2 linked regions of the Cricetulus griseus genome follow. The main gene of each other region encodes a partner of the protein of the gene in region 2 in a complex. Links are inferred from orthologs where the notes say so. Each region holds a gene or a part of one and is shown on either strand. Other genes may lie near its edges.

Region 1 (3,656 bases), on a different chromosome or scaffold from region 2:
AGAAGTTTTGATTTCTTTACTGTTTAATATTGGCTTACTATTTCATTTTCATTTTTAGCTAGCCTTAATTTGAATTCTCCTGCTAAACTAAAACATAATTTTCTTAGTATCACAAGTTTTTAAAAAAGTGCTTCTCTGAGGGTGCTTGCTTAAAATAGGAATATCTATACATAGACATTCCATGTATTAGAGGTATAACTTATCCATAATTGGGGCTGAAACTTTCTGTTTGGGCAGAGAGGGTTACTTTATAGGCAGCAAAAAATTCCTAGTTGTCATTTATTTCTTGGATGATAAGGAATTGCAGTACAGAAATAATAACAGCCTGTAAGAGGGAGTGGGAATCTTGACATGATTTCTGTGGGTTTTCTTTTCCTTGGATACGAAGCAAATGTTTGCTTGAGTTTATCATGAGTTATCTGTACAGGGTAATAATTTATTGATAAATTTTAATAAGAAAAAGTAGTGAGTCCGAGGCCAGCCTGGTCTACAAAGGGAGTGCCAGGACGGGCTCCAAAGCTACAAAGAAACCCTGTCTGGAAAAAAAAATAAATAATATTCTTCATACTTGAAGAGTACCTAATTGAGTATGAACATACAGAATATCATTGTAATAGAATTCTCTGAATTATATCTGAAATTATCTTGAGAGTTTATGGATCCTATTTATGCCCATTTAGTAAATAATGAATCTTAAAATTATTTTTCAGGACACTGAGTTTCCAGGTGTTGTTGCAAGGCCCATTGGAGAATTCAGGAGCAATGCTGACTATCAATACCAACTATTGCGATGTAATGTAGACTTGTTAAAGATAATTCAGCTAGGACTGACATTTATGAATGAGCAAGGAGAATACCCTCCAGGAACTTCAACTTGGCAGTTTAATTTTAAATTTAATTTGACGTAAGTGGGAAATAAATATATAACCCCAACTTTTTGTTTCTAGTTTAATTTTAGGAATTGGGTTTAAATGTAGTGAAATTCTAACTGAATAAATTTCCCGGAAATTTATTAAATTTAGAGTTTCAAAAGCTTAGGCTTATTATTATGAGGCAAAAGGGATTGAGATAATAAAAGCTTCTAATTTCAAATACCATTCAGTGATAGAGATGTTATTTCTAAACTGTGACTGCTGCTTTTCCAGAAAGTTGTAAAATTGTATTTTTGTTGTTGTTTGCTGTTATTTAAGGTGCTGCAGATTAAACCTGGGTCCTAAAACATGAATCTTAGGATATTGATTTTACTATTACATTTTGTTGTTGTTTGGCTCTTTTGAGACAGGGTCTTACTACATAGCCCAGGTCTCTACGTAGACCATGCTGGCCTCAAACTCCCAGAGATCCATCTGCTTCTGCTTCCCAAATGCTAGGATTAAAGGTGTGTGTTACTACACCTAAAACTTTGACTTTTTTGTACCCAATATGAAATTCAAAAGTGGGGAGGCACATTTGCTGCTCCCAATCAAGCAGGTACCATTCAGCTACAACCCCATCCCACTGTAGATTTGTTAAGATTTTGTTGAAATAGTCACTGTTCCTGTGAAGAGATTTTTTATTTTATTACTCTCATACTTTGCATCTTAAGTAGATACTTACTTACCATATGCAATAAATTGTTTCTTGGAAAGTTAGTTATGTTTTCTTTTCAAACTCTGTTCTTTAATGACTGCTCCCATGTAACCCATGAAACCTCTTGATCTTCATACAGAAAATGTAATAGTATTCTTAAACTTTTCATATACCAGACTCTGATATGTAATTCAAATCTTGGGTCTAAAGTCTGTTGCCTTCATTTAAATAGTTCTACATTATTTATTGTAGTCTTGGTAGCTGAGGGAACTTCATGAAGTAGAGTCCATCCTTTTGACATTATGACACATGTTTTTATTTGCAAAGGTCATACTCAAGAACCATGCAGTTGAGATTTTAGCAATGAAAACAAAAATAACAAAATTTTTAAAAAGTTTACACTTTTGTGTTGGGCTACATTGATAACTCATGGAGCTTATGTGACTTCTGAACTTCAGATTATAAGTTCCCAATAGGGGACAGGGGCGTATTATTTCTATTAAGGTAAGGAAATAAAACATACAGTATATTCTGCACTATGTAACAATATTTTAGTGCCTTTCTGTTTGGTAGCCTGTATTTGTATAATAGCAGAGTCTCGTTGGAAACATAGCAACAGAAACGAGAAGAAAATTAATGCTAGTTAATTGTAAGAATTCCTTGATTAATATGCACTATTTAATGTGTAAGACCTAATGAATAGCAAGCAGGACTGATGGTTTTAGTGGTGTTAGTGTCAGTGGTACAGCTGTGTGTCTTTTAAATGCATTGTGCTAACTATAAATAATACTGACAGTATTTTAATGTCTAGTACTATAGTGACATTAGTCTCTGTAGACTCTATACAGGCTAAAAGTGCTCATCTCCACTGTAATGTTATAATGTTTCTTTAATACTACAAATCTAGAGCAAACTGAAAATTGCCTTCCATCCTTTTCTCAAATGAAGATTCTTTTCTTTAGTTTTTTGTCATTTTTATTTCTTTAAAGTTCTTTTTTCCCCCCAAACTAAACATTAGAGCATTGATTTAGTTTTTTTGTTGTTGTTTTTTTTTTTTTAGTTTTGTTTGTTTATTTAAAATAAGATACTTGGTTTGGAGCAGTACTTAATACATCAGTGTGTTGGATGGTAAAATTGGTAGTTTTTGCTAGATAGTAGTTTTTATAGCAGTGGCTTTCATTTTAGTTAGTGTCTGAGCATGTTTTGTTTTTCCTTATTCACACAAGTAGTTTCACTGCCAAGTGTGTGCTACTATTTATACTAATGATAATGCCATGAGAAATGGTAGAGAAAAGAGTATAGAGTATAAAGGCTGATGAAAGGGCTCAGTGCATAGATGCCCTCCACCATGCTTGTTGACCTAAGTATGATTCTCGAACTGATATGGTAGGAGAGAACTGACTGACTAAAGTTGTGCTTTAACCTTCACATGTGTCTGTGATGAACATGTATAGGCACACACACACACAAAATAGATAAAGGTGAAGTTTAAAAAGTTTTAGAAGACTAAGTGAAAAATGTTAAGTAGAGCAAAAGCCATTGAGAAGATAAAAATGGAACTGCCTGATGTGGAAAATGTCGTGATAGCATCTTGGATGTGTTGAAGAATGGTGAAATAGACCTTGATGAATGCCTAGAAGGAATGTGTCAGTGTGTTAGGCTCTACAGTACAATGAGGAATGTTGTTCAATGTTATTATAACTTTCTGTCCTCTCTGTTGTCTCTGCTTGTAAATGTTTTTTGTGCTTAATTCTCATACTGGTCCAAGTCAGGGTGGTTCTAGGTTTGCCAGTGTTGTTTCTGGTTTTACCATTAGCATCATGAGAGTAAATGCAAGTCATTATTTATCACATGTAGATAACAAAGATTTGGAATATGGAAAGATATTTGTGGTTACAGTATATGTGTCACATTAATCGATACTTTGAGAAGATTTGAATAGATACTTCAGAGTATTGTACATACAATAAGAAATACCTGCACTCACTTCGATTTTTAGTTATAAGTCTTAGTATTCTCTGAATCTTGGAGATATGATTTGTAATATCTAAAAATCACTATTATGTAGCAAACATTTAGTAACAGAT
Region 2 (3,656 bases):
ATATAGGTATACACAGGATGTCCAGCTTGATACACGGGTGCTAAATTTGAACATGGTTGTGCAGCAAGTGCTCAACTACTAAGCCATTTCTCTAGCTCCATGTTTAAATGAAAGATTTGTCTATTCTGCCTTCATGTGTATCTGTACACCATGTACAATCAGTGCTCACGGAGGCCAGAAGAGGGCAACGGATCCCCTGGGACTGGAGTTATAGGTGGTTGTGAGCCACCACCATACAGGTGATGGGAATCAAACCAGTGCTCTTAACTACTGAACCACCTCTCCAGCCATATCCCTATATTTTAAAAATACTTCCCAGTTTATTACATCATTCATTAACAGCCTTGACCAAGAACCTTTATTTTAATGTGTGCCTACTATGATCAAGGTGTTGTATCATACAAGAAAGCTAAATACAAAGCCTAGTATGGTGCTGCATGTCCGTAATTCCAGTCCTCAGGAACCTGAGGCAGGACTGTTCCAAATTTGAGGTCTGCCTGTGCTATACAGTATCAGGCCAGTAAGGGCTACATAGCTTTAAGAGAGCAGGTTGAGCAAACTACATGAAACCAGCTAGTAAGCAGCACTCCTCCATGGTCTCTGCATCAGTGCTTGCCTTGACTTTTTGCTCTAACTTCCCAGGAGAGGCAGAAAATGATTCTAGAGCCACAAAGCAAGAGCTCGAGAGCCAAAACAATTTTGAATCTCACTTAAAAGCACATACCGTTTTAGAAAGTTCACTTCCAGATTCCATAATGCGCAAACACAAAGGGATTATCTCTGTTGTCAATAAAAAGTTGATTACTTCTTGTTCATCTGTTTTAACCAAGGCCCCTAAAGAAAATATGAACAAACAAAATTATTTTAAAGAAATTATTTCTAATTACATTTACTATGAACTGTCCCATCAAAGCAAGCTATGGAATTTAAGTAATATGATATGCAGACTGTAGTTTCTGTGTCAGGCAATCAGTTTCATATTCATTTGAACAACAACAACAAAAAAGAGTCAGCAGCAGAGTCATGAGTGCAATCCCAGTATTGGGAAGGCATAGGCAGGGAAATGCTGAGTTCAAGGCCAGCCCCGGCAAATTAAAGAGATGTTGTGTCAAAATTTAAAAAATAAAAATAAAGCAAGTGGAGAAAGTGCTCAGTGTTAAGAACACTAGCCTAATACAAGGCTCTGAGTTACTAAACTAAGTTCATTCAACTTAGATAAAGTTGATCAATAGGGTGGTGGTGGCGCACACCTTTGATCCCAGCACTTGGGAGGCAGAAGCAGGAGGATCTCTGTGAGTTCAAGACCTGCCTGGTCTTCAAGAGCTAGTTCCAGGACAGCCCCCAAAGCCAGAGAGAAAATCCTGTCTCAAATACCCCCCCCCAAAAGTTGATCGATCAAGTTATTCCTTACTCCCTCTATAACTTGATGCTAAATGATTATTGATCCTTACAGCTTTACTAGCAACATTGAGAATGGTGCCTGCTAACTTTGCAAGCACTTATCAGTAAATGAGATGTCAAAGACAAAAAATGAATAAGCTATAAGAAGTTGTACAAAATACAACTCAGACCACTATTGACCAGAAGAATTTCAGTCTTACCCTGAGTTCAATCCCCAGCACTGCATTAAGTATGGCGATGTATGCCTATAATCCCAGCACTTTGGAGGTGGAGGTTAAACCATCAGAAACTAAAAAATTCAAGGGTATCCTCAGGTACATAGTGAGCTTGAGGCCAGCCTATACTACATGAGACCATCTCAAGAAAATCAAAACAAAAATAATAAAATAACTTACCAATAACTCCAAGGCTAGTGAGCCGAAGATACTCAAAGGGACGAGTTTTGCTGACTGTGTGCAAAAAGGGGTACAAAAAAAGTGGGATGTGTGCTGCGAGAAAAGCCGACCTGAAAGAAAAAACAACCATATTTAGACCTCAGAGCTGCCTTCTAGACATCAAATGTCTAAGCCTAAAACAATACGTGAAATCACCAGAGTAAGTAATCTTTAGAAACGAACTTTATTGGTTTTTAGCCTTGACCAACCTTCTGAAATGTGTAATTTTGTTCCCTAGGAGACATGTGCCAATGTTTGGAGATTATCAGAAGCAAGAAATGTTGAGGGCTACTTAGCATACAGTCAGAGGCCAGAGATGACTACTGCTTAGAAGCATACCTGCTTGCCCTCACTGACACATCATACAGACAGCTCAAGTGTCAATGTGTAACAACCACCCAGGCTAGGGTGAGTAAACCAACACAATCTGCAGTCTGCACCAAATACCTTAAAACCTGATGAACTCAAAAGTTCTCGATGTTAGGTTTAAAAAAGATCAAGTCATAAATGCTAAAACTAATGTGTTGTTGCAATGTTGTTGAGTTCCTACAACTCAAGGGTACTCCTAAATTAGGAGAATCATGAGTTTGGGGCCGGCCTGGAGACACTGTCTCCAAAAGATAAGAGAAGCGGGGAGGGGAGAGGAGAGGAGGATAGGGAGAGGAGAAGGAGAAGAGAGAAAAAAGTGACATGAGAAGCTACATTAGTCACACACACACACACACACACACACACACGACAGACAGGTGGATGGCACACACTTTTAATCCCAGCACTTGGGGGAGGGGGCACGGCTGCAGAGGCATGTGGATCTATCTCTGTTGAGCTCGAGGCCAGCATGCTCTACGGATAGAGTTCCAGGACAGGCTCCCAAGCTACAGAGGAAGGAAAAAAACAACAAAATAACTCCCCCCCACCCTCGCAAACAACAAAAATAAATTTACTGAGTTCCTACTATATGCCATGTAATGGTTATAACAATCATGGCCAGGTGTCTACTATGATTAAAAAAAAAAAAAGTGCCTATGTACCTAAATATATTTACTTTCCTGTGATATGAACATCACTCTTTAAAACTTCAAAGCTATGACTCTGATTTAAATGAAATGAACATAAAATAATTACTTAATTTTGATTTTTTGAAACAGGGCCTCATTCTGTAGCAAGCCTCTTGTCTTAGCCTTCTGAGTGCTGGAATTACAGGTCTGAACCATCACGCCATGCCAGGCTTAAAGCTCTGGTTTCATATTTGGGATTGAATCACTGACAGAAAATATTTTTAAGGTAACCAAGCAAAATCTTTTCTCTTAGGATACAGCAAATCACTAAATTAGTTGAACCGCTTATGTTCAGAGTGTTTATTACTATTTTGAAAATTGTTTTTATGATGTTAAAAAAGTATGGAATTGTATTCTTCTTCATTTTTAAAACACATTATACTTACTTCAAATCTGTAGCTAGAAACTAAAAATAGCTGTCAAACTTAACAGTGTAGAAATATGTATGTCAGGGGCTGGAGAGATGGCTCAGAGGTTAAGAGCAGTGGCTGTTTTTCTAGAGGTTTTGAGTTCAATTCCCAGCAAACATATGATGGCTCACAACCATCTGTAATGAGATCTGGCACCCTCTTCTGGCCTGCAGGCAGGACATTGTATATATAATAAACAAATAAATAAATAAAAAAGAAGAAAGAAATACTTATGTCAATGTCAAAGAAAACCAGAGAAACGTGGGTATGGTGGTATACAGCTATAATCCCAGACCTTGAGAAAGGCGGTACGATTAGAGTTTGAGGCCAGTCTCAGCTGCAAAAACAAAAGC

The links.
Region 1: Cnot9 (region 2) and Cnot7 share a complex: the UniProt entries of both Homo sapiens proteins name them as parts of the CCR4-NOT complex. The link is inferred for Cricetulus griseus from reciprocal best matches to the Homo sapiens genes CNOT9 and CNOT7.

The regions. Positions count from the first base shown.
Region 1 is NW_023276807.1:45,215,981-45,219,636, forward strand, and holds part of Cnot7 (CCR4-NOT transcription complex subunit 7), read left to right. Parts: intron 1-710; coding exon 711-904; intron 905-3,656. UniProt on the Homo sapiens protein: Has 3'-5' poly(A) exoribonuclease activity for synthetic poly(A) RNA substrate. Its function seems to be partially redundant with that of CNOT8.
Region 2 is NC_048595.1:427,766,999-427,770,654, reverse strand, and holds part of Cnot9 (CCR4-NOT transcription complex subunit 9), read right to left. Parts: intron 1,907-3,656; coding exon 1,797-1,906; intron 835-1,796; coding exon 725-834; intron 1-724. UniProt on the Homo sapiens protein: Component of the CCR4-NOT complex which is one of the major cellular mRNA deadenylases and is linked to various cellular processes including bulk mRNA degradation, miRNA-mediated repression, translational repression during translational initiation and general transcription regulation.